Linked DNA regions of Elephas maximus indicus. The protein of the gene in region 4 interacts with the protein of the main gene of each other region in a pairwise test. Links are inferred from orthologs where the notes say so. Each region holds a gene or a part of one and is shown on either strand. Other genes may lie near its edges.

Region 1 (6,987 bases), on a different chromosome or scaffold from region 4:
TTTTTATCTGAAGTAAAACTACACACGTTTACAAGCTTTCATTGCTTGAAGACACCCAACTTCAACTTTTAAGTTTTTTTTTAAAGTGTTTTCCTCTCTCACAAGCTTTCACACCTAGAGACCATATTCTAACTGTAACCCACTTTTTTTTTTTTTTACGAAATTCATTTTTGTAGTTAAGGAAAACACTCCTTTCAAACAAAAAACTAATCAATTCTTCTTAGTGAAGAAACTTTATATGGAATGAGGTATTAAAGATATCCAGATAAACAAAAGCTAGTTTCAGATATTGAAGCATGAGAAACACTCGATATTTATCTATGCACATACACGATAAACACATCACTCAGCGTGGCTCAGAATAAACAGTTAAAAACACTGGAAAGATCATGTAAGAACTGATACCTCCGCTAACAGCAGTTACATAAGAGGGGCACATACCTTGTGAAAAGGTCCCAGAATTTTCTCCCCGGCGTAGGATTTGAAGTTCTGGTTCACGATGTGCGTTATCATCAGCCTGGGAGCGCCGGCTTCATTGGTCATCGCCGGAGGCGGCGGCGGAGGGACGCTGCCCAGGATTTCTTCTAAACTTCGGCTGTCGAGGTCCTCCCCGGGCGCTTCTAGGTCGGCGGAGGCAAGGCAGGGGGCCTCCCTTAGCGCAGGGAGCCGACCTCGGGGCGCGGCACCCCGCCTTTCCACCTGAGCCCAGGGAGGCTCCCCGCGCGCCTCAGCCCCGGACTCCGGGCCGCGCGCCTCCTTCCTTCTGCCACAGGTGCCTCAGGCCACGCGGCCGCGCCGAGGGCCCGCGACGTGCCCGCGGGGTCACAGACCAGGCACCGGCGCCGCCCGCGAACGGCCACCGGCCCTCGGCCGGCCGTGCCGACTTCCGCCGCGCCAGGGACGGGCGTCCGCGCCGCCACCAACCGGCTCCCACGCCGAGCTACGCGCTCGCCCCGTCCCCGCCGCGCCGGAGCGGCTTTCCCGGCCGTCGACGGCCCGGCCCCGACCCCCGACCCCCGACGCCCGCCCGTCCCGGGGCCCCGCACTCACCCGCGGCGGAGGAGCTCGGGCTCTCGGCGCGGCCGGACGGCGGCTCGGGCTCGGCGTCGGGGCTGGCGTCGGCCGGGGACCGCGGCGGCTCCTCTCCGCGCCGGGCGGTGGAGGGCTGGGCGCCTTTGCGGGGCATGGTGGCTGGGCGGGGAGAGCCCGAGCCAGTCAGCCCGCGGCGGGGGCGGCCTCCTCCAGGCGGGCCGGCTCGGCCCCCCGCCCCGCTCCCACCGCCCCGGCCCTGAGCCCACACCCCGCCCGCCGCTCCCCGACCTCGTACCCCGCGCGCCGCTCCCCGACCTCGTACCCCCCGCCCGCCGCCCCCAGCCCTGACCCCATACCCCGCCCGCCGCTCCCCGACCTCGTACCCCCCGCTCCCCGACCCCATAGCCCGCCCGCCGCTCCCCGACCCCATAGCCCGCCCGCCGCTCCCCGACCCCATAGCCCGCCCGCCGCTCCCCGACCCCATAGCCCGCCCGCCGCTCCCCGACCCCATAGCCCGCCCGCCGCTCCCCGACCCCATACCCCGCCCGCCGCTGCCCGACCCCATAGCCCGCCCGCCGCTCCCCGACCCCATAGCCCGCCCGCCGCTCCCCGACCCCATACCCCGCCCGCCGCTGCCCGACCCCCGACCCCAGCCCCCCGCTCCCCGACCCCATACCCCGCCCGCCGCTCTCCGACCTCATACTCCCAGCCTGCCGCTGCCCGACCCCCGACCCCCGCTCCCCGACCTCATACCCCCAGCCCGCCGCTCCCCGACCCCCAACTCCGTCGGGGAAGAAGCCACAATAAAACCGAAGGGCAGGAAGGCGGGATGGTTTTCTCAGGAAGACCTGGGCAGGTGGGGAAGCCCAGACGTGCCCGGGAACCAGCCAGTTAACCCTCCAGGTTTTTCGGGACCCTCGGCCCCGGGGCGCCCCCAGTGTAGCCGCACAAACTAACTCGCCGACGACCCGACCCCACACGCAGCCGACGCCGACGGACGTGCCCGCTCTCCGGCGTAGGCAGCAGCGCGCCTCGGCCCCGAGCGGCCGCCGGCCCTCCCAGGCCACCCAGGAGGGAGCCCCTCGCCGCCGCGGGCCGCTCGGGGGCTTCGCCGTCTCCCCTCCCCGCGCGACCCCGAAAGGGCGGCCGAGGGCTGGGTCGGCGGCGGCGATTCCCTCCTCAGGACGGCCCGCGGCCGAGCGCCGTTAGACGGAAGTCAGCCGGGAAGGGTCGCCAGCGAAGGCTCAGAGGCGGCCGCCAGTCCCTCGGGGGCGCCCGGAGGGCCGGGCTCGGGCCGGGGGCACGGCTTTCCCCGCAGAAGCGGCCGGCCAGGCGGCAGCCCGCCCAGGGGACGCCCGCGGAGCTGAGCGCCGCGCTCGGGAGAAGCGCGCGGGGCCCGGACCGCGGGAGCGGCCGGGGGGGGAGGGGTGACAGCGGGGAAGCCGCTCGGCGGAGCCTCGGGACCGGCTCCGCGGTCCGGCTCCCGGCCTCTGCTCTCCGGGCGCCCCGGGCCGCTCGGCAGCCAAGGATCCGACCACCCGGCCGGGAAAGGAAGTACTTTACCTGCGGGCCAGTCCAAGGTTGGAGACGGTTGCGGAGCCCACCGCGCTCCTGCCGGTGTCTCGGCTCCGGGTGCTTCACTCGAAAATGGCGCCTAAAATACAAACTCGAACGGAAATTCGTTACAAACGCGCGCAATGCTTTCTGGGATCCACTAATTTGAAAAAAAGTGCGGCGATTACCGCCGCCATCTTCTGGTCATTCTTGCGCAAGCGCAAACTCCGGGCGGACCCCGGGCGGTAGGGGACGTTCGTCCTAAGTGAAAACGGAGGAGAAGGGAATGTTTACCCAGCGGCCAGTAGCAGCAGCACTATTATAAACACCACATTTAAAAAACGTGGCGGTTTTTGAAAAAGAGAAAAAAAAAATAGAGTCGGGTTCCGCCCACAGCTGAAGGCGAGGCTCAACGTCCAACGACGCCCCCTGAGGAGCGGGCGGGCGCGCTGCGGGGCGGGGCCTCGGCTCGGCTCCGTGACGCGCCGTGCGGTGCGGGGGGAAGTATCGCGGGAAGGCGGGGAGCGTTGCTGGGAGACGTCACTATGGTGACTGCCCAGGCTCTGTGAGGCCAGTCTCCTCCGCTTCACTGGGACCTGAGGTAAATCTCGTCAGCTCCGGACGCGGCCAGGAAAGGGCTCCTCGTTGTAGCCAGCACCTTTCCTGCTTTGAGGGTGCGTGTGGCACGGAGCACCTGTTACAGTCTGTCTCCCTGGGGTACAGGGGCTTTGGGCGTAGCTTTTGGGGTACCGAGGAGCCCAGAGTTTGGGGGGCGGGGGGCGCCAGGAGAAGAGGAGAGCCTGGATTAGTGGTTGCTCGTGTACGCCATGTGGGAATAGCAAGGTAATGACTGTCGAGTTATTGGGGTTAGGTCATTAATGTTATTAGTGAAAGGGAGTTTCGGGCTTTTCAAATTATTTGACAAAAGGGCTCCGCAACGGAAGAAGCAATTTGCTAGTGTCATTTGGTTATTTTTATCGATCGGCAAACATTAAGGGGCTACTGTATACATGGCACCGTGCAAGACAAAATCAGGATTGTCAAGCAAGTAGGAGAATTCCTGTCCCCAGAGAACTGAGTTTTCTTTTGGGGTTTTTAACCGGGGTCTTTGTATCCAGTGGTAGGCGATTTGGCTTCGGAACAATTCATAACCCCTTTGTCATGTTATACAAAATTCTGTGTGTTTGTACGTTTTTCTGGGGGGTTAGTTTTCCCAGTACTTTCTTCGCATTCTCAAACGTGCCTCTAGGCCCCCTCGGTGTTAAACAAACAAAACCACTGGTTAATTTGACGACCTCCAGTAAGGATTTACCCAGGACTCTTATGTACTCGACATTGAGGACTGGGAGTCTTTTTTTTTTTTTTTTAACCTTTTGCATACTTAGGGCCTACCTTAGAGCCTCGTTTATTAAAAGCAATAAATCTGGTTTATGAATGAATTTACATTGTCACTCTAAACATGTAATGGCTCCTGCCCTGAAGGAGCACACAGTCAGGTTCAGGGGTGAGGAGGACACGTTCTCCAAGTGTAATAATTTGCTGGGGTTGGGAGGCTGGTGTGGTTTGAATAAACAATAACTAGTTATTATAATATGCATTTATGTTTGCAGTTGAAAAAATAATCATCGTTTTCATAACACAAACTGCAGAAAATGAAGCTCATTGAGAAAGTTTTTGGCTGGTATTCATACCAAGAAGATCTAGTGGTTCTCTTTGATGGCTCTAGAGTCTTGTGGATTTTTGAATGTTGTAAAATTGATGCAAACAGTTAATGTACTTGGCTGCTAACCAAGCACTTGGGAAGAAAGGCCTGGAAATCTGCTTCTGAAAAATGAGCCGTTGAAAGCCCTATGGGGCACAGTTCTACTCTGACACACATGGGTTGTGAGTAACATAGCACAATGAGTATGAGTAACATAGCACAATGTAGTAGAAAAATATGATATAGATAAATGTTAGAACCCCAAATCTCATCACTTTTAGGTACATACTTTGACAATTTACTCAATTTATCAATCTCTCAGTATTTATATATAAAACCAGTGTTTAACACCTATCCCATAGGAATGCTTATGAGAAAATTTCTAGCACACATCCTATAAGCATTTGATGTTGCTATGTTTATGACGTTGACTTTGTTAGGATATGTACATGAAAAATGGGATGTCAAGTTGGAGAAGGAGTAGCTTATGGAAGGTCTTGAAAACCAGGCCAAGGATGTTAGATGTGATATGGAAGAAAATAGAGCTATTAGAAAAGTTTTGAGCCAAGGAGCAACTTGGTGAAAATAGGAAGAATAATTAACAGTAGTACGTGGATGTGCTAATGGAAAGAAACTGAAATCAGTCATGACTTTAGTTAGATCATTGCTGTACAGTTCTCCATGTGAGAGGTGAGAATTGCCAACATAGCAGAATGGAGAAACATCCGGAATCATTTTGGGGGAAAAATCTATATAGTTTATATAGGTTTTGATGGATGAGTATGAATTTAAAATCAGTCAGATACTGTTCTTTGTATGTGAATCCCTGAATTAATGACTAAGAGGTAGGAATAAAAATAAATCTTAAAAATGAATCCTAGTTTTAGTGCCCTTGATGATTGCTGTCAATATGGTAGGACTTAGTGACTGATGAGAAAATAACGTAGTTTCAACAAATCAATAAGCTGACCCACGGTCTTAGGTTTACTTGAATCTAACTACGCCCCATGAAGAACAAATATTTTCAAAGCAGGCTTAAATCAGGCTACATAATGAAGTAAACACATTTGTAACAAGCAGCTACAGGGTAGACTTTAATTTGGATATTTATATGTGCTATGAGAATAAGACCCCCACGTGTCTGTCAGTTTGTCATATGTACTGTCAGGGCTTGTGTGTTGCTGTGATGCTGGAAGCTATGCCACTGGTATTCAGATACCAGCAGGGCCACCCATGGAGGACAGGTTTCAGCTGAGCTTCCAGACTAAGACAGACTAGGAGGAAGGACCCGGCAGTGTACTGAAAAACATTAGCTAGTGAAAACCTTACGAATAGCAGCAGAACATTGTCTGATATAGTGTTGGAAGATGAGCCCCCCAGGTTGGAAGGCACTCAAAAGATGACTGGGGAAGAGCTGCCTCCTCAAAGTAGAGTCGACCTTAATGACGTGGATGGCGTAAAGCTTTCAGGACCTTCATTTGCTGATGTGGCACGACTCAAAATGAGAAGAAACGGCTGCAAACATCCATTAATAATCGGAATCTGGAATGTACAAAAGTATGAATCTAGGAAAATTGGAAATCGTCAAAACTGAAATGGAATGCATAAACATCGATATCCTAGGCATTAATGAGCTGAAATGGACTGGTATTGGCCATTTTGAATCGGACATATAGTCTACTATGCTGGGAATGACAACTCGAAGAGGAATGGTGCTGCATTCATCATTGAAAAGAACGTTTCAAGATCTATCCTGAAGTACAACGCTGTCAGTGATAGGATAATATCCATACACCTACAAGGAAGACCAGTTAATAAGACTATTATTCAAATTTACACACCAACCACTAGGGCCAAAGATGAAAAAATAGAAAATTTTTATCAGCTGCTGATCAAACATGCAATCAAGATGCATTGATAATTACTGGCAATTGGAATGAGAAAGTTGGAAACAAAGAAGAAGGATCAGTAGTTGGAAAATATGGCCCTGGTGGTAGAAACAATGTCGGAGATTGAATGATAGAATTTTGCAAGACCAACGACTTCTTCATTGCAAATACCTTCTTTCATCAGCATAAATGGCGACTATACACATGGACCTCGCCAGATGGAACAACCAGAAATCAAATTGACTACATCTGTGGAAAGAGACGATGGAAAAGCTCAATATCAGTCAGAACAAGGCCAGGGGCCGACTGTGGAACAGACCATTAATTGCTCATATGTAAGTTCAAGCCAAAACTGAAGAAAATCAGAGCATGTCCAGGAGAGCCAAAATATGACCTTGAGTATATCCCACCTGAATTTAGAGACCATCTGAAGAATAGATTTGACGCATTGAACACTAGTGACCGCAGACCAGACGAGTTGTGGGATGACATCAAGGACATCATCCATGAAGAAAGCAAGAGGTCACTGAAAAGACAGGAAAGAAAGAAAAGACCAAGATGGGTGTCAGAGGAGACTCTGAAACTTGCTATTGAGCGTCGAGCAGCTAAAGCAAAAGGAAGATTGATGAAGTAAAAGAACTGAACAGAACATTTCAAAGGGCCTCTCGAGAAGACAAAGTAAAGTATTATAATGTCACGTGCAAAGAGCTGGAGATGGAAAAACAAAAGGGAAGAACACGCTCAGTGTTTCTCAAGCTGAAAGAAGTGAAGAAAAAATTCAAGCCTCGAGTTGCAATAGTGAAGGATTCC
Region 2 (7,892 bases), on a different chromosome or scaffold from region 4:
TATAGGGTACTGTACACTTGCCTGAAGTAGAACCCAAATGTGGGTCATCCTGGCTAGCAGGAAACACAAAAAGGAATGAAGAATCAGCAAGAGTGTACCACAGAGGCGGCCAGGGAAAGGCATCCCAAGCAGAGAAAGCAGAGTGGACAAAGGTCTGAAGTCACCGAGAGGGCCTGTCCTGCCCAGAGGATAAAGGGAAAGAGGATGGAAAAGAAGCTGGGTTGGAGCCAAATCTGGATGAGACTGTACGCTAAGCTAAGGAGTTTGGATTTTTTTTTTTCTCTGTAGGCAACAGAGAACCAACAGAGATAGTGTCTGTCTTCCCAGGTCTCCTCACATTTTTGGCTAAAGGATGTGTCAATCATGGGAGAAGAAACACGTAAAACTCACCCTTGTTCTGGCTTAAGAAACAGGCAAAAAACGAACAGAAACAGTGCATGCCCTGTCTAGAAAAGGAGGCAATACTACTTAATTCTAGTCATTGCCTGCTATAAACCAAACCTGTTGCCGTCAAGTCAATTCTGACTTAGCAACCCTATAGGACCGAGTAGAACTGCCCCATAGAGTTTCCAAGGAGCACCTCATGGATTTGAACTGCTGACCCTTTGGTTAGCAGCCCTAGCTCTTACCCACTATGCCGCCAGGGTTTCCACTGGCTGCTATGCCAATTCCAAAAACCCAGGTATTCCAAAGGCTGCCATCACCTGCCCCTGCGACAGACCCTTCCCTCTGCTCCCACCTCCCCCAGCCTCACTGGGTTCCCTTCTAGCTTCCTGAGAGACGTTCTGTTCTGAAGGGGTGATTCTGATGGTGACTGCCGGGGGCAGGGGCTCCACAAGAGGAGCAACGGTTGGAAAAGAAAGCCCCACTGTTGCCAGCACTTCCGATTTTCAAGGGACCAGAAATACGGATTTTTATATGAAATCTGACTTTTAAGTGTTGGTGTCTAAAGTAAGGGGAAAAAAACAAAACCACACAACACTGTGTGGGCCAACTAATGTATGTCTATGGGCTGCTTGTGTATGACTCTGTCCCAGAGCCTTTGGCCTCACTAGAATCCACTGAAGTAAGTAAGGTAGCATCTTCCTTTGAAACATTTAATCATACCAAGATTACTTATAATCAGGCTTTTTAAAAAGATTTGTCTTCCTGGTTGTCCTGATACACTGCACCTCTTCCCCAGGGACTATGCATTCATTCAGAAATATCTACTGAGTCCTTGCTCTGGGGATCAAGTAGTGAACAAAATCCTTTAGCTACTGACCTCTGGACAGACAATAAACAAATAATCACAAATCATAATAACAATATGAGGAAAGTCACACAGAGCTATGTGAAGGTGTAGCAGGAGGACATAATTCATATGGGGAAAGGGTGTCAGCATAAGGCCTCTCCGAAAAAGCGAAACTTAAGCTGAGACCTAAGGATGTCCAAAAGTTTATCAAGTGAAGGGGAAAGGGAGGCAGTCCAGGCAGAAACAACAGCGTGTATGAAGATTTTGAGGCTGTAAGAAACCTGAGGCAGTCCAAGAACTGAAAGGCCACTGTGACTGAAACACCATGAGCAAGAGGAAGAGTGGACAGGATGAGGCTAGATAGCAAGGCTAGAGTTGGATCATGGAGGGCTGTGAAAGCCACAGTGATGAACTTGGATTTTATCTTAAGGGTAATGGGCAGCCAGGGGATTCTCAGCAAGGTGGCATAATCAGACTTGCATTTTAGAAATACAGTAAAACCTGCAAAAGCTGGAACCAATGTAAGGCAGAAACCTGTTAGAGAAGGAAAACTCAAATATTTTCCACTAAAATAAGCGATAAAAAAGTAGCAAGACTACACCCTTTCAAAGGCAGAGACCCAGAACAACAATGCAGTCCCGTCGAGTTCCGGCTTTCACAGGTTTCACTGTATAACTCTGGGTCAGGATGAAGAATGGATCGGGGAGAACAAGAGGGCGGGGCTGGCTACACCACCTTGTTCAAACCTGTAGCCCGAGCACATGGGGCCTTGACATAATTGGCACTCAGTAAATGTTTGTGGCATGAATGACTGTGGGAACAGGTAGTAGGCTATTACAGTAACCAAGGCTTGGAAATTACAAAAAGCGTTCTGATTTGAGATATTTTGTAAGTTGAGTCCATTGGACTTGGCAATGGATTGACTGAATGTGGTGGCTGGGAGGTGAATGAAGGAAAGAGGCGTGATTTCCAGGTCTCTATCTTGAGTCAACGGAATGGCTGGACGGGATAGTTAATGAGATGGATAAGACCAGAGAAGCAGTGTAGGGAGAGGGTTCACAGCCAACTACCAGATTCTCTCCTCACTCCTACCACACACGCCATGTCTGCATCTGGGGAACACAGGGTAAATAGCGGGGGCTGACTTCCCTCCAAATAGATGCTGTGACACTCTCTGTGCCCCCCTCACCCCTCTCCCCCCCCGTCCTCCCAGAGCCATGCTAGGCACAACAGTGAACACCATCCGTGGGGTGTGAAGGAAGGCGCACTGGGCAGAAAGTTTGGAAGACCTGGGCGATGGAGCTGGCTCTGTGCTAACTACGTAAACTCTTGGAACTTATCTGAACCAGTTTCCTCGTAAAATCACTGCGCGCATGAACGCGTAGGAAGCTCCTGGCCTAAGCCGGGTGTAAACACAACTCCCAAAGGAAAAAAAAAAAAAAGGAAAAAAAAGTCGGGCTGAATTCCCCCGTCACTTTTGGCCCGGGACAGCCTCCGGGCACGGGTCTGTCAAGTTCATCTCGCCCCGGGCCCGCCCGGCTCTGCCCCCAGCCTCGGGGGCACGAAGCCGAGCACGCATTCTTCGACCCGCAGTCATGGCCTACCTGCAGGCCCCGTAACGGTGGCGCGCTGCGGTCCAGGCTGATGTCTGCGGCACTTTCGCTCGCGGGTCAGCGGTACTCTGCCCACCTGCCGGCCTCGGCCGCTGCCACGGCTACAGGGCCTGTTTACCGGTGACGTCCCTACCTGACACCGGAAACACTTACAGCCGCCCACCCCCACAGAGCCTGCTGGGAAACGGAGGCCTGAGGGTAAGGATGACTGCCTACAAGACCCAGAGGCCTCTGCGCTGGCCGGGTTGCCGGAAGTAGCTGTGGTCTCACCGCAGAATACTCGGAGGGGCCGGCCCTCTACCCCGCGATACCGTGCTGGGCATGCCGGGCCTTGTAGTCTCGGGCTCCCCGACTGCAGGGCTGGGCCGCGGCTCCGGGCGGAGTCGGCGGGCGGAGGATGTGAGCTCACGCTCGGGGATTGCGGGCGGGCAGGCGGCCGCGGTCCAGGAGCCTGCTAGAGACCCAGCTGAGAGAAGGGAGCGGCGCCCCTGGGGAAGGTGAGAGCAGGGGCTGGAGCAGAGACGGGCCCGCTCGGTATTGGGGGAGAGGGGAGGGACGGCGTAGGAGAGATGGAGAGCTCAAATCCTCCTCTGGGGATGGGCGTCAGGACTGGTCTCGGTAGTGAGAAGGAGTACGGGCTGGGGAAGACTCCACAGTGGCTCCCATAGATGTTGGGGCTCGCTAAATTTCACCAGGACCCTTTGAATAAAGGCTAAGATTCACACCTAGGATTTCTCCTAAAGCCGTTGTCTCCTGCCAAGATTGGCTTTCCTCACCATCCCTTGTGTGACGAATTTCTTGCTCCTTATTCCTCAGGACCCCACCTTCTCCCACCGTATTCGCGGTGGCTGTTTATCCTTTATTCTGCTTGAATCCCTTAATCTTCACTGAGTGAGACACGGATACGCCTCTAGCCCGAAAAAAAAAAAAAAGGCGCCCCCAAATAATCCACACACAAAGTCCGGAAGGAAGAGCACTGAGGGTGTCGCAGGAAACTTCACCTCCCTGGAATTCCCTTCTGGGCGTTACCTGCCGCAGGATTCCTGGAATCCATTGGTTTGGGCGGCATCTGAACTGACGTCATTCATGGGCCCAAAGCAGTTGCTTTTGTAGGGAAGGGAATGGGTTAGCTCTGGACAAAGACTTTTGTCTTTCTCTGTTGACTAGTTTAGCTTTAGTGTTCCTTTGCTTTGGCAGAACATGTATGTGTACTTTCTTTGGTCCTGGGAACGCTGGGTCTAGACACAACAGACAATACAAGGGGAACTTATTAAAACTTGTTAAGGGGTGGGTTTATTTCTTTGGGTTGGGCTAGGGAAGTAAGGTGATCTCCTGCCATTTGTTACTTGCCGATTGGACAGATTGTGGGTGAGGGCCCAGCTCCTCAACGTCCCATCGCTGAGGCAAATTGAAGAGCCTCCCGGACCAACCCACAAAGGAATTCAGTACTTCATACAGCACCTGCTCTGGCCTGTCCTTGCACATTCTTCCCAGGGATCTACAGAAATCCTTTCTGGGACAGCTTAAGTCTTAACAAACCAACATATATTAAATACTTAAAATAGGCATGGCATCGTGCTAAGCATTGTTTGCAGAGCAAAACAGTAAACTGAAACCAGGGCACTGTTACCGGTTTGCATTTACAAGGAACGATGAGCAACTGTAAGCTGCATGTTGTGAGGATTAAATGAGGTAATTCCTCTTTTTCTGTCTCTGTTACTACAGTGGTAGTCCAAGCCATCATCATCTCTTACCTAGACTACTGCTTCCTCTGGTCTTCCCACTTCCTCTCTCACATTCTTACAATCCATTCTCTCCACAGGAGCCAAAATGATCTTTTCAGAACATAACCACATCATCTCACTCCCCTGCTTCAAACCCTCCTGTGGATTCCCATTGCAGTTAAAATCCAAACTCTCATGCCTGCCTTTCCTGATCTTACATTCAACCAACTTCCTTCTTTTTTCTGTGCATCAGCCATTTTAACCTTGTTTCTTTTTGTCCAACTTGTTTCTAGCTGAGAGGCTTTGCATTTATTCTTCTATCTGTCTGGAATGCTCTTTCAGATCTCAGCTTAAATGTCACCTTCCCGAAAAAGAGTTTCCTGGCCACTTATTTAAATTAGTGCTTTTCCCTTATCACTGTTTTATTATCTTTTTTGCATTTATCACCTTCTAAAATTGTCTGCTTATTTGTTAGTTTTTTGTTTATTGTCAGTTACACACACACACACACAAACACACACATGCAAACATGTAAGCTCCGCGAGGACATGACTTGTTTGTTCTCTTCTGTATTCATAGGCTTGGCTCATAGTAGGGGCACAATAAATGCTCTCATTTTATTCTTGCTGACATTATGATGCTTCTTGCAACTTCTTGAAGGAAATGACAATCTCTTCATCTTTCTGTCCCTGCTGCATAACATAAAAATACCAAACCAAACCCATTGCTGTCAAGTCAGTTCCAACTCTTAGCAACACTAAAGGACAGAGTAGAACTGCCCCATAGGGTTTCCAAGGAGCAGCTGGTAGATTTGAATTGCCTACCTTTTGGTTAGCAGCCCAGCTCTTAACCATTGTGCCACCAGGGCTCCACTGCAAAAGGTAGGATTTGTTATTGGTGGTGGTGGTTGTTTTTTTTTCCTAAGTTAATTAAATGGAGGCCTGGTGGCACAGTGGTTAAAGCACTCAGCTGCTAACCAAAAGGTCAGCAGTTCAAACCTATCAGCCACTCCGTGGAAGAAACATGTGGCAGTTTGCTTCCGTAAAGATTATAGCCTTTGAAACCCTATGGGGCGATTCTACTCTGTCCTATAGGGCCACTATGAGTTTGACTTGCACGACGGCAACAGGTTTGGTTTTAGGGTTTAATATGTATTAAATGCTTAGAATTATACCTGGCATATAGTAAACATGCAACAAATATTACCATTTTTCCTCCAGCGAATGAATTTTATTGATTTTTTAGAAAGCAAAAAAAAATGTATATATATATATATGTATATATATTATCTAAATCATAAGGGGTGACCTGGCTTTGCTCTCCTTTTCTTTCCTTGCTCCTCCCTCCTATGAACTCCTGTTAGAGTTTCAATTTCCAAGTCACGTAATTGTTTTTAGATTTATCTTCTGGTCTTTTGTGGCCCTTTTCTTGTTGAGAGGGAAGAGAGGGAAAGATAGGGCTGGGCCCCCTCTCAGGAAAAAAAAAGAAAACAGCCATCCTGTAGTTGATCTACCCTGAAAAACAGTGATAATTTCATGAACTTGGGATAAGACTGGTGTCAAGAAATGGGAAGGTCAGGAGCCCCCAGCAGGAGCCAGGGTACCTCTGCCAAGAGCAGTGTGCCAGCACCCTCCCACCTGCCTCACTGCCTTCTTTCTCTCCTAAAGCTGCTTTCACTTTCCTTCCTGGAACCAGACCCCAGGTGGCACTCAGACTAAGCACTGGTGCTGGCTGCTTCTGCTTATGGAATCTGGTAGGAAGGAAGTGCATCCTGTCCCTCTGGCTTCTGGAAAACTCCTAGGCAGGCTGCATTCCCAGTAGGTTTGGCTGGAAGTCGGAGATCCTGGGAACTCAGAATAACAGCAAGTCTGACTGGCAGATTCCACAGGATGAGGATCTCTGCTGTCAGTCTGTTCCTCAGACCCTCTCTGACCAGTTCCAAGGACTTGCTTTTCTTTCTTGCTGCCCAGAGCTGAGCTGAGTCTCCTGGAGGCTGACTCAACTCTCGCTTGGTGAGGTGACCAGAGCCAGGCTCTGAGAAACTGTGCTCCAAGCATGGTTCCTGGGACAGTAAAGAACATCAGGGAAGTCTTTCTTACTGTTGCCCAGGAAGTTGGCCTCTGCCAGGGAGTACTTGGACTGGTCAGTGTTTCTACTGTTGTCCCTTCTGGTTTGCAGGCTCTACTCTGCTGACTCCTGTCTTCTCTCACATCTTTTGCCCACAGAACTGAGAGTATGAGGCTCTGGTCTCCACTGGCCACTCACCCGTGACCCCTTCCACCACGGTGGAGCCTTCCAAGCCTACCTCCTGCCGTGTGGTAATCTACCTGCAGCGGGAGATGTCGGGGGATACCTGTCTGTGCCCAGCCTCAGGGGCCAAACCCAAGCTAAGCAGCTTCAAGGGTGGAAGCTTGGGCAACAAGTACGTCCAGCTCAATGTAGGTGGCTCCCTGTACTACACCACCGTGAGGGCACTAACTCGGCATGACACCATGCTCAAGGCCATGTTCAGTGGGCGCATGGAGGTGCTGACGGACAAAGAAGGTGAGGCATCAAGGCTTGTTGAGCGGGTGGAGAGAAAAGGAGGAGTTCCTGAAAAGTGACTTCGGGGCGGGGCTTAAGCCTGGCAGATCTAGAGTCTCAACTCACCTACCATAGGACTTCTTCACCTGGAGTCCTTTGTAAGCTTCAGAATCCTTTGAAATTGTATATAGAATGTTGTGCATTTATGCATTTTTCCAGGGAGAAGATCCATACTTGTTTTATAGTCCTAAGAACCATCGCAGTAGTGCCCAGGCAGTGGGCAGGAGAAAAGCAGGGCCTGATGGTTTCTGTGTTGCAAGAGGTGGGCCTAAGTGCTCCTGAGCTTGGACCTCTGGGGCTTCAGCAGAGCCTGGAGGGCTGTGTCTCCCACAGCAGGTGTCGGTTCTTGGTTGCAGGGTGGAGGGGTGAAGAGCAGCCATGAACCTGAGAGCTGGAAGTTCTGGTCCCACTTCTGTCACCACTGTGCCGTGGGCCCTATGTTCGTGTAACTCCTTTTCTTGCCACCTGCCACCAGATCCACCCAGTGACCTTTTGCCTCATGCTTGTTTCTGAGACACCTGGAGGAAAACAGTAATTCTCTGGGTCTTAAACTCTGGTCTGAATCCCTAGGCTGGATCCTCATAGATCGATGTGGAAAGCACTTTGGCACCATTTTGAATTACCTCCGAGATGACACCATCACTCTGCCTCAAAATCGGCAAGAGATCAGGGAACTGATGGCTGAAGCAAAGTATTACCTCATTCAGGGGCTGGTGAACATGTGCCAGAGTGCCCTGC
Region 3 (7,847 bases), on a different chromosome or scaffold from region 4:
AACAGGATCAGACCAATCCTCTGGAGTGGGTAAAACGGGACTGCCTCTCAAACCCTATTAAATCCAGAGGGCATGGTGCCTCCAACAAAGAATAACTTATCCTCAAAAATGATGCCCGAGTCAGAAGAAGAGAATATCATACACATTCGAGATCCTTTGCTTAGGAAAGGATGTATGTAATCTGTTGCAAAAAAAAGCATTTTTTGTTGTTGTTGTTTCGTATTGTTTTTGTTTTTTAGTTAGTGCTTGAAAGAAATCCTTAACTCTCTGAAAACAATTATCCGGAACTTTTCTTTCCTGAGGGGCTGGGAATAGCTGAGGACCTAGGACCAGAACAGAACCAAGTTTCTACCAGTAGGTGATTGACAACTTATTTTTTACTTCTTGGTAAATACACATATATTCAAGAATGTGAACATATCAAAGAGGATTTTTAACCTTTGGACACAAAGTGTTTTATTTGATACCGATGACCCTCTCACTAAAGATAAGCCAATGCAACAGTACTAAACTGAAGAAACAGGGAGTTCTACCTTGGCCTGTGACTACCTTTACTGTTATTACTACTAAGCACCTTTCTTCCCACTGCAAAAAAGCAATTCATTTTCATGAAAAAAAACTAACATTACAGGTCAGGAACAGAACACTCATGGCTCACGAGCACCGTAAGGGCATCTCCTTCCTGAATACTTTCACTAAGGATGTATGTAAACTCACATATAGACACGTTTTCCCACAAAGCTGTGATCACGTGTTACATGTGGCTTTTTACGTGCGGCTACTAACACAAACATCTTTCTGTGTTACCAAGTTTCCTGTGATTTCTAACAATGGGTGAATGGCATTGGGCAAGCTACTTCAATTCTCTGGGCCTTGTTTTCCCATGGATAAAAGAGGAAGGACGGGATTATCTACCCGATAGGTTTGTTCGAGAACTGCTGGACATTTTTAGCAAGCTTCTACCTAACATTGAAATGAAAACCTACATAGCTGTGTTTTAATACATCCTAAATTACTTTCTTTGAATAAATTTCTAGAAGTGACATCGTGGATCAGTGATATCGTGCACGTTTACAAATGTTAACTGCCTTACATTCACTAACCTGTCCATTTCCCTCTCCATCTCTGCCTCATTTTTCTTAAGCGTCCTGTAAAGTTAAAAAGTCTACAGTAAATCACATAAAATGAAAATCTTTACTATTTAAGTTTTGATCTCTATTTGCACTTTACTTGGAAGAATGAGCAGACCTTCGGTGCCACGTTGCAATGTCTTTCGCAAGCACTGTTCTAGTCCACACAAACTAAATTTTAAGAGAACAATTTTCCAACTCGTCTCAGAATAAACTCAGCGCAACAGCTGCTTCAACACAAAATAAATGTTATGTCAAAAAATTATTAAAAATGCCACCGATTAAGTCAAAACTCATGCTTTATTGTAACAGCAGGCAAAGACCAAAAACCAAGCCCACAGCTGTGAAGTCCAGTCCGACCCACAGCGACCCTACAGGACAAAGCAGAACTGCCCCCTAGGGTTTCCAAGGCTGTCATCTTCGCGGAAGCAGACTGTCACGTCTTTCTCCGCTGGTGGATTGGAACCACCGACCTTTTAGTTAGCAGCCGAGCGCTTGGGCCAATGCGCCACCAGGACTCCTAGACAAAGACCAAAACCAAACACCAAACTCGCTACTGTGGAGTCGATTCCGACTCCTAGCGACCAGAAACCCTAAAACTGAAAGAAAGGTTTGCGCAATCGGTGAAGGAGGCCTTCGAGGAACTTCGGCAGGAGCCCCGCCGACGGCGCCCCGGCCGACAGCACCCTCCGAGATCACGTGCTGACGCGTCAGAACGCGTAGGCTGACAACTTCGGGGGCTGCTTCCCGAAGCCGCCAAGCTGCCCCCTGCCCCGTAAACGGTCGCTTCCTGCAGCCTCGGGCCTGGAGCACCCGCAGACGGCAGCAAAGCGCGCAGGGCCGCAGGCCGGCGGGGAAGCTGGAGGCGGAAGGCGGAGCACCGCGCTCAGGGCGCGCCGGGCTCGACCCAGCTCCGCGCAGCGACGCCTGGTGCCCGGCTCGGCCGCTGGACGCCCGCCACCGCCGCCTCCCCACGTCCCCGCTCCTGCCGGGGGCCTGGGACCGAGGGCGCGACCCCGGTCCTCCCTGCGGGGCCGGGCTTGGGGGCGAGGGCGGCCGGGCTTGGGGGCGGGGGCGAGGGCGCCCGCGCGGTGGGTCACTTCGGGGCGGGGATGGCAGAGGGGCGCCGGCTCGGAGAGCAACCATTAGAAGGGACTCCCCTCCGCGCTCACCCACCAGCTGGGACCTCGGGTGGGTAGGGGTCGTCCAGGGAGCCGGGACCTGGCCTAGGGCATCAGGGAACCCCGACGGAGCTCAGCTGTCAGCTCGGGCCCGCCCGCCCCAGCCCCGGTCCCAGGCCCGGCCCCCTCGTTCCCGGACCGAGTGCCGCGAGGGCGGCGCCGGGCTCAGGGGTGAGGGGACCCGGGTCTCCGTGCGCGCCCTCCCGGCCCGGGGTTTGGGGAGGTCCTAGGATCAGGGTCAGGGATCAGGACGGAGCTGCCCTCCCTCTCACCCCCGAGCCAGGTCAAGGGGCGTCGGGCACCAGGGAAGGAGAGCGGCGGCCATCGTACCTGAGGCGGAGCCAGCGCCTGCTGCAGCTGCTGCTGCTCCTCGCTGATCTTCTGCTTCAGTTTCTTGAACATGGCGCAGCGCGGGGTCCCGAGCGTGAACGAGACCTGAGGGTGCGCGCCGGGGAGTCACCTCTCTACACCAGGGGCTGCGGGGGCCGGGCCTCGCCGCCTCCTCCCTGGGCTCGCAGGCAGGGCGGGACGCTCGTCCCACAGGTGTCGGCGTCGCCGCCGCCGCGTCTCTTCCTCCCGGGTGCCACCGGCCGGCCTCGGCCCCCCATCCAGCCCCGGCGGCGGCGGCGACAACGGCAGCAGGTGAACGGTGCGCCCAGGGCGCCTGCGCGGCCGACGTGGAGCTCGCGACGGGGCCCTACGGGGGGCCGTAGAGGACAAGGCTCCCGCACATGCGCGCTGACGGGACCCTGGGAGGGGGGGGCTGCACATGCGCGCTGACGGGGCCCTACGGGGGGCCGCAGGGGACAAGGCTCCCGCACATGCGCGCTGACGGGACCCTACGGCGGCCGCACATGCGCGCTGACGGGGCCCTACGGGGGGCCGCAGGGGACAAGGCGCCCGCACATGCGCGCTGGGGGGCGGCGCTGGCTGGAGGTTTCTCCGGGGACTAGCTGGGCTCCTGCTGGGATCCCTGGCCCGTCGCTTAGCTGCGCCTCGACGCTGCGAAGTCAGGCGGAGAGGGTGCCAGGCCCCCCAGCGGAGAACGGCGTCCAGGCTGGGAGAAGGGTGGAACTGCGGGGGCCTGAGGTGGCCCCTAAAGGATAATGTAGTTTTGTTCAGTACTTCTGATCCCTGTGAAGCGCCGTCGCTCCATGCCTGGTCCTGCGCCATCCTCACAGTGGTGGTCACTTTGAGCCCATTCTTGCAGCCCGCGTCAGTCCATCTCGTTGAGGGTCTCCCTCTTTTTTGCTGGCCCTCTTCCAAGCATGATGCCCTTCTCCAGGAGCTGGTCCCTCCTGATAACATGGCCAGAGTACATGAGACCAAGTCTCGCCATCCTCGCTTCTAAGGCGCATTCTGGCTGTACTTCTAGGACAGATCTGCTCGTTGTTTTGGCGATCTGTGGAATAGTCAACATTCTTCGCCAACACCGTAATTCAAAGGCATCATTCTTAGGTGTTCCTTATTCCTTGTCCAGCTTTCACAGGCCATGGCTTGGGTCAGGCGCACCTTAGTCCTCAAAGTGACATCTTTGCTTAAAACCACTGAGCTTTGGCTTAGCAGCCAAGCGCTAAACCGCTGTGCCACCAGGGCTCCTCATTTGTATTAGGATTCTATATATTTAGTGCCCAATATTCTGACTGCTCGGTGGCGGGGGAGGAAGGGGTTCTTCCCTTCCCTGGAGACTTTAGGGAAAGTGCCTTGAGATAGGCTCCCAAGGCCCAGATGTTGCACGCCAATAAAGTAAGACACGGATCTTCCTGTCACCTGCCTTTAGTTTTTCATTCACTGAAATTGTGTATTTTCATGTATTCACACAACAACCTTTGTTTCTAAATGCCAGTACCCTGGAGATGGTACACTTAGTAAAACAATATTCCTGCCCATAAAAGAAACGCATAGCCTCGTGGAAGACACGGGTTCCCAAAGAGTTCAAATTTACTCTTAACACCTGCTATCATTTTAAGACTTTCTAATGTTTGTGTGCTTAATTCATCCAACACCTTGAGCTTTTGTTCATAGGTGAACTCTCAAATCCACCTCAGCGACCTGCTTGTGCGTGCTACACCTTTGGCATCATCTGAAACTGCTTCACATTGCCTCAGGTATCAGAACCTGACAGCGTAGACTGTCTTCTCATTTTAACAGATTTTATTTACCAACATTCATATACACAAACTGTTGTTTAAGACTGCAGAGCCTAATCACTAAGCATGTCACAGCTGGAGCAGGGCTGTAAGCTAGCATCATAGGTCCTCTAACTTCAGGGAGGATAAGGAATCACCATCGGCCCCAGGCTGATTCCTTTGATTCCTGTGTGTTGGAGGTCAGACATATCTCCACCCTCCAGTCTTTTCACCAGTTCTGACACCAGCTGCCACTACCCTCCCCCCACCCTCTCTGCTTCTCTCCTGGGTTCCATAATTTGTTGCAGTGGCCGCACAGAACTCACAGATCATACTCACCATTATGTGGTGTATTAGAGAAGTAACAGGCTGCCATTCAAGAACAGGATTAACTTGGAAGTAACAGGAACAATGTAGGAGGGGACCAGGACTGTTTCCAAGACAGCTCGTGGTTCCTTGCTGGCCTGGCCTCCTCTCAGCCTCTGCCTGCTTTTGCAAGTGTTACAGTTCTTTAGCTCAGCCGACAAGTGCCCTGAGGCACCCCACCACAGCCATCTCACACTGGTCTCCAGTTTCCAGCCATCTCACTGCAGTGGCTCCTGCTGCTGCCACGCCATCTCTTGCCAGTGCAAGACGGCCATCTCCAGTGTCAAGCTCTCTATCTTTATGATAGTGAGGTTCCTCTCAGTCCCTGTGGGATTAGCCCTTTTATAAGCCTACTGCCCCTACCAAGACCACAAACTGACAAATCCCCTCTGTAGTCCATAGTCAGCTAATTTGCTTAGCAATTGACCAATCTCCACAAGGGTTTTATACATCTTATTTGCATAGTACATTGTCCAATCTCTTTGCAAGATTGTGGCCTAGCGAATAATCTTGGCAGAACTACAAACCCAGGACCAGAAAGGCCATATATAAAGAGAAGCCTATTGCACTGCAGGGGCCTGATGGGGACACTGCCCTGACGTCTGGATTAAGTCCTCCCGTACAATCAACACCCATGTAATTACCAAGAGAGTGTTTCCTTTTTTAGGAGCCTAATGTTTTAACAAGGTGCAATGCTTAAGCCCTTGACTAGTAAAAAAAAAAAAAAAAAAAAGGTCAGTGGGTGAAACCCACCAGCCACTCTGCAAGAGAAAAGACTTGGTGATCTGCTTCTAGGTTTCAGCCTAGGAAACCCGACAAGGCAGTTCTACTGTGTCATATAGGGTCACTATGAGTAGGATTGGCTCAACGGCACACAGCAACAATCTCTCAACAGACTATAAAGTCCCATAGGCTTCTTTCAGACTTCAGATGCCCAATAGGCATTCTCACCCCAGCATTCACAATTATACATCACAGGTTGACAGTTTTATATTTATACATATATTTATCATTGTTGTTAGTTGCCATCAAGTCAATTCCGACTCATGGTGACCCCATGTGTGCAGAGTAGAACTGCTCCATAGGGTTTTCAAGGCTATGACCTTTCAGAAGCAAATCACCTGGCCTGGGCCTGTCTTCTGTGGTGCCTCTGGGTGGGTTCAAACCCCTAACCTTGTGACCAGCAGTCAAGCGCTTAACCCTTGGCACCACCCAGGGATCCTTTATACAAAACACTTCTTTAGAACAAATTCAGCTCAAGGCTAGGTTGTAACCTGAGTCTTAACTCTCTGCCCTTCATATCTCATCTCCTCTTACAGGCTTTCTGTGACCACTCCCCCCCCCCCCACACACACATACACACACGAGTGGAGTCCACCATGCTCGTCTGTGTACAGCCTCGTTCTTACATGCCGTCAATGCATGTATCACCTTCTGTGTTTATCTTTTTATTAATACAAAAGTAATATATATACTTATTGTAACAAAGTCAAACAAAAGTGTAATCTTATCCCCCAAATAACTTCTATTAATAATTCAGTTTATATTTTGATTTTAGTCTTTCATTTATGAAAATAGGCACATAAATTTATATACTTGTATACAAATATATTTATGTTTTATTAAAAATGCGTTGTATATAGTCCATATCTTGCTTTTCTCAATTTACGTCAGGATTGTCCGTTCTAGTCAGTACGTGGGAACTGAGATCCCAGCAGTAGGTTCCACGGCAGACTCCGCACTGCGCACTTGTCTCCTCAAAGTCTGTCTTGACAGTTGCGAGTATGTCTCTATTGTTCCCAGTGTCCAGAAGACCTTAAAAAGCAGGGAGATAAAAAAAGAGATACTGTATACAGAACAACAACAACAAAAATGACTGCATAGAATGGCATCCTTAAAATGTTGAAACAAACAAAAAAATGCCAACAAACTTGTACTACAAGAAATGCTAAAGTTATTGAGGCTGAAAAGAAATGATACCAGAGATAATGCAGATAATACATTTCTCTAAAATCCAAATGACTATTTAAGGCAAAAATAATAACCCCACATTGTTGGGTTTGTAACAAACAAAGGTAGCACAAAGGCCAAGAAGTGGGTGTGGCAGTAAAGTGTTCTAAAGACTTCCATCGTGGGGGAAGTGGTATAATAACTAATACAAGTGAGACTGTGGTAAGTTACTATGCATATTGTAATGCCTAGAACAACCACTTAAATATGATAACACAAAATATATAGCTAGAAAGCCAATACCGAACCTAGTGCCATCGAGTAGATTCCGACTCATAGCGACCCTATAGGACAGAGCAGAACCGCCCCGTAGAGTTTCCAAGGAGCGCCTGGCAGATTCAAACTGCTGACCCTTTGGTTAGCAGCCGTAGCAGTTAACCACTACACCTCCAGGGTTTCCAGAAAGCCAATAGAGGGTATTAAATTTAATAGAGAAAATAGTCAAGTAATTCAAACGAAGGCAGCAATTGAGGAAAGAAAAAATAAATGGGCCAAATAGAAAACAAATAGCAAGATGGTAGACTAAAACCCAACCACGTCAAAATTACATTAAACGTAAATTCATTAAACATTCTAGTTAAAAGGCAGAGGTGGTCATAGTGGATAAAAAGTAAGATCCAACTTTATGCTGTTTATAAAAGATGCAATTTAAATGTAAAGATAGACTGATAGTAAAAGCACAGAAAAAGATATATGATGTGTCACAATCAAGTTTCCCCGTGACAGACTCTGAGATTTGTTGGAACTTGGGGAACAGAGGAGAGGAGCCAGGTGTACGCGATGCTGTACAAGGCAGCCTCCTTCAGCTCAGGACGGCACAGAGCAGGCTCAGTCATCCCGGCCAACACTACCACGTGTGGGCAGTGGGCTAGAGAAGCCACTGCACTGAGCAAGCCAGACTCGTAGGGCTGCTATCGCTATATTACTATCAAATAAAGTAGACTTCAAGACAAAGAGTGTTAAGGATAAAGAGGGCCATTTCAAACCTATAAAAGGGTCAACTCCTCAAGAAGATTTAACAATCCTAAATG
Region 4 (7,941 bases):
CATATATATTTTTACCCAAGTAGAGAAATCGTTTTCGATACTTAAAAAAAAAAAAAAAAAAACCCGTTGCCATCGAGTCAGTTCTGACTCATGGTGACAGAGTAGAACTGTGCTCCACAGGATTTTCTTGGCTGTAATCTCAATGGAAGCAGATCGCCAGGCCTTTCTTCCATGGTATTGCTAGGTGGGTTCAAACTGCTAACCTTTAGGTTAGCAGTGGAGTGCAAACACTCGTCCCCACCTCGTTGTTGTGGTTGTTAGGTGCCATCAAGACAGTTCCAACTCATAGCAACCTATGTACCACAGAACAAAACACTGCCTGGTCCTGTGCCATGATCACAATTGTTATGCTTGAGCCCACTGTTGCAGCCGCTGTGTCAAGCCATCTCATCGAGGGTCTTCCTCTTTTTCGCTGACCCTCTACTCTACCGAGCACGTAGAAGACAAAGCAGACCAGTCAGTCCTGATTCAGAACACCTTGCTTCTTCCACACAACGTGTCCACCTCGCCAACCAGTCAATTCTTCTCGGAATTCTTCTGCTCTCGTTTCCCATTAGGATGCTCCAGTCACACCAGAGAGGTTCAGGAACCCGCAGTGTACTGAGCACGTGGCAGCCCTGACAGGCCCTCTGCCGCCCTTCTTCGGGGCTACATTTTTGTTGGGGAGACAGACCAACACGGAGGATGAAAGGGTAGACCAGAGGCACCCGCAGTATTGTCCGTGCTGCCGGCTCACACCTGGCTCACCCCTACTTGCTGCCCCTCGGCTGAGGGCGACACAGGGCAACCGGGACACAGCATGCTCCCACCCAACTCTCAACGCAAAGTGCAGGACAGGCTGGGAGAGAAGCACCGGCTGAGCAGAGGAGGAGACCAATGCAGGCAGCACTTGGGGTTGGTTAGGATCTGAGAGAGGTTTTAGGCACTGTAGGGTTTTTAAATGAGGCACTCCTGGGAGGCACACGTGATCAGCAAAGGCGAGATGGCAATGCAAAGTCTGGGGAAGAGTAAGGTGACCAAGCAGTGGGAGTGAGGGAGAAGAAAAGCGAGAGGACCAACAGGCCCGGGGATAAGGGCTAAAAGCCCCCAAGTACAACCTGACTCCTGATTCCCAAGGAGCACACCCTCGTCCAATGTCTGCCCACAAGTCCACCCTGGAAACAGGCGCTGCCAGCCCCCACATACACCCTCCCCCAAGGGTTACTAGGAGCCTTGACCAATTCCATTCAACGAGCCAATGTTTGCTGCACAGCCTCTGTGTACTGTACCTTACTCGTGGCAGCTCACCCAGGATATGCCAACAGAGAAGTTCCAGTCTCCGTGGTTCAGGAACTGACAATCAAGAGGGGAAAACCACCCCCACCTGTCAGTTTGTTGTACTGCAGTGGCTTGTGCATTGCTATGATGCTGGAAGCTATGCCACCAGTGTTTTAAATACTAGCAGGGTCACCCACGGTGGACAGGTTTCAGCAGAACCTCCAGACTAAGACTAGGAAGAAAGGCCTGGCCACCTACGTCCGAAATTAGACAAAGAAAATCCTGTAGATCACAACAAAATATTGTCTGATACAATGCTGGAAGATGAGCCCCCTGAGCTGGAAGGCACTTAAAATACTCAACAGTGGACTTGGACATACATACCATTGGTCACGAAGATGGCACAGGACCAGGCAACATTCTATTGTGTTGTACACGAGGTTGCCACGAGTCGGAGCCAACTTCAAGGCAACTAACCATGATGACAACCACAGCACGAAAAGGTACACAGCCAGCCAGTATCTACTTAAAGCAGACTTATCACCAAGCAGTAAATTCCTCCACTAGTTTTTCCTTTCAGGCCTCCCTACGACCACCTCCAATAAATTCACCAGCAGGTATTTACTAAGCTTGCAAAATGTGGTGACTGCTTTGCCTTGCACTGTCGACGGGCACCTAGAAAAAGAACTCCATTTTCTCAAGGTTTACTGAGCACTTTCCACGTGCAAGGCCTTGCAGGACCCCAGGAGGAAGGCAGCAGGCCCCTCCCGAGCAGGGGAGGGGAATCACCGAGACAAGCGTGGAGGACCAGCCCTAACTAGACACCGGTAGGCAGGAAAGCAGAGTGCTCCCCAAGGGGCCGGGAGGATGGGTAAGAGGAGAGCAGGGGCGAGGGCAGCAACTCTCGCAGAAGGCTAACAACAGCTTAGGCCCAGTGGCCGCCCCCCGCTGCAGGCCAGGCCAAAGGCCGGTCTCCGCGGGCAGGAGCCCCGCAGAGCAACGCCAGGCGCCCGCTGCCACCCAGCCCCGGGCCGAGCCCCGACTCGCATCTCCAGCCCGCAACCTCGGCCCTGACTCCAACCCCAACCACTCGCCCTGACCTCGACCCCCAGCCCAGGCGCCGATCCCCGGCCGCAAACTGCACTCCGGTCCGCACCCGAGGCCCGACCCGACCCCTGGCCGCGCCCCGGCATCGACTCCGACCCGCACCCCCACCCCAGCCCCCCGGCTCCCAGTCCGCACCCGATCCCGGCCAGCACGCTGACCCCGGCCTGCACCCCGACCCCGGCCAGCACGCTGACCCCGGCCCGCATCCCCCACCCCGGTCCGCACCCCGACCCCGACCCGCACCCCCCACCCCAGCCCCCCGACCCCGGATCCGCACCCCGACCCCGGTCCGCACCCCGGCCCTGCCCCGCACCCCGCACCCCGACCCCTACCCGGATCCGCACCCCGACCCCGACCCGCACCCCCCACCCCAGCCCCCCGACCCCGGATCCGCACCCCGACCCCGGTCCGCACCCCGGCCCTGCCCCGCACCCCGCACCCCGACCCCTACCCGGATCCGCACCCCGACCCCGACCCCGACCCGGCGCCCACCTCCGTGATGATGTCGTGCAGGTAGCGGAACGGGGGCTTGCTCAGCAGCTTCTCCGTCAGCGGCGGCCTCCGGATCACCTTGCCCAGCGCGTCCTGCGTCCGCCTCACCACCGCCGCGTTCATGGCGGCGCCCGCGCGAGGCCCGCCCGGCCCGAGCCCCGCTCCCGGCCCCCGGCCCCGGCCCGCCGCCCCGGCCGCGCTCCCGGCCCAGGCCCCGCTCCCGGCCCCGCTCCCGGCCCGCCTCGCCGCGCCGCCCGGCTTCCGTCCCACAGTGCACGGCGGCCGCCACTGCGCGTGCGCGTCGCGCCCTCCGTCGCTAGGGCAGCGCGGCCTTAGCAACCGACGCGCCGCCGCCCCGCCCGCTGGACCCGCGCGGGGAAGCCGCCAGGGGGGCCTGTCCGGGAACAGCGTGTTCTCCGGGATCCGTGTTGTCTGTCTCACAAAAGGCACGGGCGCTCGTAGGCAGGTTCATGGGAGGGGCTGGACTGAAGTATCCCAAAAGACACGGAAGAAAAATGCCCTCGTCCATCTGTCACTTACTGTGGCTTTTCGGACAGGTAACTTGCTTTCTCTGAGACGCCATTTGTTTCCGTAAAACAGGGACGATAATGTGACTGTCTGCCTTACCTACCCCCCAGGATCGAAATCAAACCAGTTACCATCAAGCTGACTCCAACCCATGGGGACCCCGTGTGTGTGTCAGAGTAGAACTGTGCTCTCTAGGGCTTTCAATGGCCGACTCTTCAGAAGGAGATCGCCAGGCCTTTCTTCAGAGACACCACTGGGGGAACTCCAACCTCCAACCTTCCAGTTAGCAGCTGAGCGCTTAACGTTTGCACCACCCAGGGACTCCACCCAGGATGGTGCAAAGGGAATGACCTAGGCAGGGAGACCCCATGGAGGCCCTGCTGTGCACCGAGGGCACAGGCCTGACTGCCCACTTTGGCACTCATGGCTATCAGAGACCCGCAGCTGAGGCGTATCCAGGCATCAAGGTGTCTGAGAGACACTAGCAGCATCCAGGACAAAAGAGCAGAGCACCAGACCCCTCGGAGAGACTGACGGGGATTGACCAGGGAGTGGACCATCCTCTGGGAGCACAGATTCGCTCCAGGCCCTGCTGTCCACTGCGTCGTCCTACGTGAGTCCACTCCTCCACACAAGAGGGCACAGGCAAGGCTGAGAAGAGGCAGCCAAGGACCCCAGATGCAAGAAAGACACCCGGAACCAGTACTCAGTGGGGGCCAGAGGGAGGGGCTGGCTGGGAGGGCTGCCTAGCCTAAATTACCTCCCAAGCTCCTCAAAGAACCATGAAAGCACTGAGGAAAAAGGCTGAGAATATAAAAACAAGTTATTCATAAAAAAGAGAATCAGCTGGATGACTGTAGAAAAACACAGACAGAATGTGTTTGACAAATAAAAGCCTGGCAGGGGAGGCTTTGGAAATCAACAGTTTCTGACTGAATGCATGAAACAACCATGGCCATGACTCAGACAGGGAGAGAGAGCCCCACGAAGCCTTGTCTCCAGGCCTTGCCTCCCCAAGCCCACCCGACAGGGAGGCAAACATTCCCAGAGACAAAGGCCTGAGGAGACTGGCTTAGCCCAACCCTGAGCTCCTCATCTGCCCAGGGCCCAGGATATGGGTCAGCTTCAGGGAACGCTGGGCAGCAGGGACCAGGCACGGGGAAAGAGTGGCCACCTCGCCAGCCCTGGACCCGCAAGAGCAGCAGAGAGTTACTGCTAGGGTTGCCAGAGAAAATACGGGACAACTGGTTAAACTGAAAACCCAGACAAACATCAAATAATTTGTTAGTATAAGTATATCCTGTTTAGGATATACTTATACTAAAAATTTGGAGCCCTGGCGGCTCAGCTGCTAATTGAGGGCTTTAACCAAAAGGTCAGTGGTTCAAATCCACCGGTGGCTCCAGGAGAGAAAGCTGTGGCAGTCTGCTTCTATAAAAATTACCTGAAATTCTATTGGGCAGTTCTACTCTGACCTACAGGGTCGCTATAAGTTGGAATCTACTTGATAATAGGATTTATACTAAAAATTTATTCCTTCTTTATTTGAACTTCAAGCTTAACTGGGCATCTTGTGCTTTTGTTTGCTACATCTGGCCACCCCAGCTGTGGCAGCAAACAAACGCCTGTTCACTGGGGCCTGGAAGCCCCTCGGAGCCAATTTCTCCCACAGGTGGGAACCATCTCCTGTGCCTGCTGCATCCAGCTTTGGGGTACAAATCAGGTCGCCGCCCTTCGAGTGTCTGTGTGGCCATCCCTGAATCTCCCTTTCTGTCTGGCGTAGGCTGGAGGAAACACACACAGCAAACAATCACACTGGAAGTTATTATTCAAGCCTAGGGAGATGCCCTGCCCTTCCTCCCACCAGGCCCTTCCCTGGGGATTTCCATACTTCACACCTTGCAGAAAAGGGTTGGGGGTTTTGATCCCATCCTCTCCCCACAAAAGGCCTTTGAGCAATCTATGTCATTTTCCCAAAAATTTTTAAGCTGTGCTTGTAGCAGCTTCTCTTGCAGGGAGGGGTGTAAGTTCTGCCTCACGAAGCACCTTGCGGGGCATCCAGACTTTGACGACAGAGCCATTGTAAATGCTGCAAACAGGTAAGCGGAGCCGGGGGACCCGCTTGTTTGCCCACCAACGCAGGCCCAGCCCACTGCTAAGGTGGGGACCCAGTGAGCCCGCACCGGGAGGTGCAGAGGAACCCCAGATGTTTTCAGGGAGCCCCTAACCACACTCCTGTTGACCAGTCTCCACTCTGACCCCAGGCACACAGAGCAAATTTTATTGTTGTTGTTATTATAAAGGCCAGGGTATTTAAAGCCTGAGAAATGTTCTCGTAGCTTCAGCAACCAGCTCTCAGGAGGCTATAGCTTGGCTATAGCTGATACTGTCCCTGCCCACGCAGCCCCTAAGCCCCATTCTATGACTGGAAAATGTCTATTTTATGAGTCTTGAGGGGGTGAGACTGCTTCCCATTTTGGGAGCTGAGAATGGAAAGGATTATTGTCCCAGCCAGCCTTGCACCGGGGCATGTCATGTGACCTGGGTCCACCAATCACGCACACACCTGCACCAGACTTTGCCTCAGGTGCCAACAGTGCAAGAAGACAGGGGCCCCGAGCTCACTCTCACTGTCTGTCTAGCTGAGGGTGGGGCAGGTGCAGGTTTAGCTGCCGGCCCAAAAGTGACCATGGTCCAAGCTTACCTCCAATGCAATGTGTTCTAGGGCTCTGCTGCTAGCAGTGCTGTCTCAAACTGGGCCTTCCAGGCACCAGATTCAAGCAAGGATGAGGAGACTTTGTCTTACGTACTTTGAACGTGTTATCAGGAGGGACCAGTCCCTGGAGAAGGACATCATGCTTGGTAAAGTAGAGGGTCAGTGACAAAGAGAAGACCCTCAGGAGATGGATTGACACAGTAGCTGCAACAATGGGCTCAAGCATAACAACGATTGTGAGGGTGGCGCAGGATCGTGCGACGTTTCCTTCTGTTGTGCACAGGGTCGCTATGAGTCCAATGCGACTCAACAACACCTAATGACAGCAACAACAAATGTAGGGAAATATTTTGTTTTATACTCACATGAGAGAGAACAACCTTTCTGAACAGACACACGGACACATAGAGGACTTATAACTTCAGCCCTTCAGCTTCATCCATAGATCAAAAATAAACACAAAAACCCAGCAGTCCAGATCTCAAATAGCTGTCCTCCCACCCAGTGGGCATGAAATCTTCATTGATTTGACTCACAAATAGACAAGCAGGCAAACCAACAAGAGCAGCAATGTGGATTCTCTGCCGTTTGTCACCCACAGAAGATTGGTCTCCACCATCTACACAGCAAATAACACTAAATGGTCAGATCACAGGACCAAATCCCCATCATAGTGCCACCAATGATAAATGACTTATTGGCCAGGAGTGAAACAGAAATAAAAACAAAAAACACAAAAGCAGTAGGAAAAAAAAAGAGAATCAGTGAAGTTAAAGTTCTTTTGCTGCTTGGGTTCTCTCCAGGAACCAAGAGGTGCCCAGGTTTAAATGGCCCACGAGGTGCACTTCTCTGGCACCACAGGTTACTTGGCTAGGCAGGGGAGTACAGCTGGGCATCTCAGGGGAAACTCCAAAATGATCGAAGTGTAATTTTCCAAAAGGTAGAGTCAGGACTCTCCTGCAAATATAAAATGACCACTTGTGAAAGATTTTATTCAATTCATTGAATTCATGAGGAAACTAGTAAGATGTTAAAACCAGCTCAAAGAATGCTGAGAAGCCAGGGATGTTGGAGAAGGAGGGACACCCATGTGGCTGGAGAGAAATGAGTGACAGAGAGAGAATAGAGGAGGGAAGGTCTGTCCATGCAGCCCTTGTAGACTGAGGTAAGGACTTTGGCTTTTACTGAGTGAGGTGAGAGAGCTGGCTTATGTTTTCAACGCATATGTTGTTGAGGACAGACTCTCAGAGGTAGGAAACAGAAAGACGAGTTAGGAAGCTATTGCAGTGGTCCAAGCCAGAGGTGATGGTGGCAACAGCATTTTCTGGGTCCAAGAGAGCAACCGATGGAAGACAGTACTCCGCAATAATCATCAACCTTGAGTAATTGAGGGTGTTGGGACACTGAGACTTACGTCTCTCTCCGCCATCTTCCCAGGCTGATGACTGGACATTGAAATGACCTTCCAAGGTAGATCCTGGAGCTTACAAGGACAGTACTTGCAGTGAACTCCAACACCCATCATCTTTTTGTCTGTCCAGAATGTGATGACAACACCCTTTCCCTGGCTGCCTGCTCCATTTCTCTTCAATTTATTTCTCAATAAATCATAGCTTTTAAAATCAGAAACAAAAGTTGAAAATTAAGTTGTCAGAGGAGACTCCCACGTAAGGAGAACTGCAATATTGAGATGGCTTCTTGGAAAACAGAGTCCCAGGTGCCCATTAACATACAACCTTCTGATAGGATCGTTGATGAGACGGGTTTACCAGGACTAGGGAGCCCTCCCTGGATCCACAGTCAAATTATCTGTCATCTGCTGCAGCCTTTACCACCTGTGT

Evidence for each region.
Region 1: the proteins of TRAF3IP1 (region 4) and SMC4 interact in a two-hybrid assay, tested with the Homo sapiens proteins (2 studies listed by BioGRID and IntAct). The link is inferred for Elephas maximus indicus from reciprocal best matches to the Homo sapiens genes TRAF3IP1 and SMC4.
Region 2: the proteins of TRAF3IP1 (region 4) and IFT20 interact in a two-hybrid assay, tested with the Homo sapiens proteins (2 studies listed by IntAct). The link is inferred for Elephas maximus indicus from reciprocal best matches to the Homo sapiens genes TRAF3IP1 and IFT20.
Region 3: the proteins of TRAF3IP1 (region 4) and GOLGA4 interact in a two-hybrid assay, tested with the Homo sapiens proteins (2 studies listed by BioGRID and IntAct). The link is inferred for Elephas maximus indicus from reciprocal best matches to the Homo sapiens genes TRAF3IP1 and GOLGA4.

What each region holds. Positions count from the first base shown.
Region 1 is NC_064841.1:323,254-330,240, forward strand, and holds the start of SMC4 (structural maintenance of chromosomes protein 4), read right to left. Parts: upstream 3,002-6,987; 5' UTR 2,596-3,001; intron 1,192-2,595; 5' UTR 1,187-1,191; coding exon 1,051-1,186; intron 621-1,050; coding exon 442-620; intron 1-441. UniProt on the Homo sapiens protein: Central component of the condensin complex, a complex required for conversion of interphase chromatin into mitotic-like condense chromosomes.
Region 2 is NC_064837.1:23,671,447-23,679,338, reverse strand, and holds the start of IFT20 (intraflagellar transport protein 20 homolog), read right to left. Parts: upstream 3,004-7,892; 5' UTR 2,839-3,003; intron 1-2,838. Other genes in the region: TNFAIP1 (BTB/POZ domain-containing adapter for CUL3-mediated RhoA degradation protein 2), read left to right, coding at 6,911-7,115, 7,725-7,892. UniProt on the Homo sapiens protein: Part of intraflagellar transport (IFT) particles involved in ciliary process assembly. May play a role in the trafficking of ciliary membrane proteins from the Golgi complex to the cilium.
Region 3 is NC_064845.1:2,971,602-2,979,448, forward strand, and holds the start of GOLGA4 (golgin subfamily A member 4), read right to left. Parts: upstream 3,016-7,847; 5' UTR 2,714-3,015; coding exon 2,642-2,713; intron 1-2,641. UniProt on the Homo sapiens protein: Involved in vesicular trafficking at the Golgi apparatus level. May play a role in delivery of transport vesicles containing GPI-linked proteins from the trans-Golgi network through its interaction with MACF1. Involved in endosome-to-Golgi trafficking.
Region 4 is NC_064824.1:140,402,471-140,410,411, reverse strand, and holds the start of TRAF3IP1 (TRAF3-interacting protein 1), read right to left. Parts: upstream 3,007-7,941; 5' UTR 2,980-3,006; coding exon 2,857-2,979; intron 1-2,856.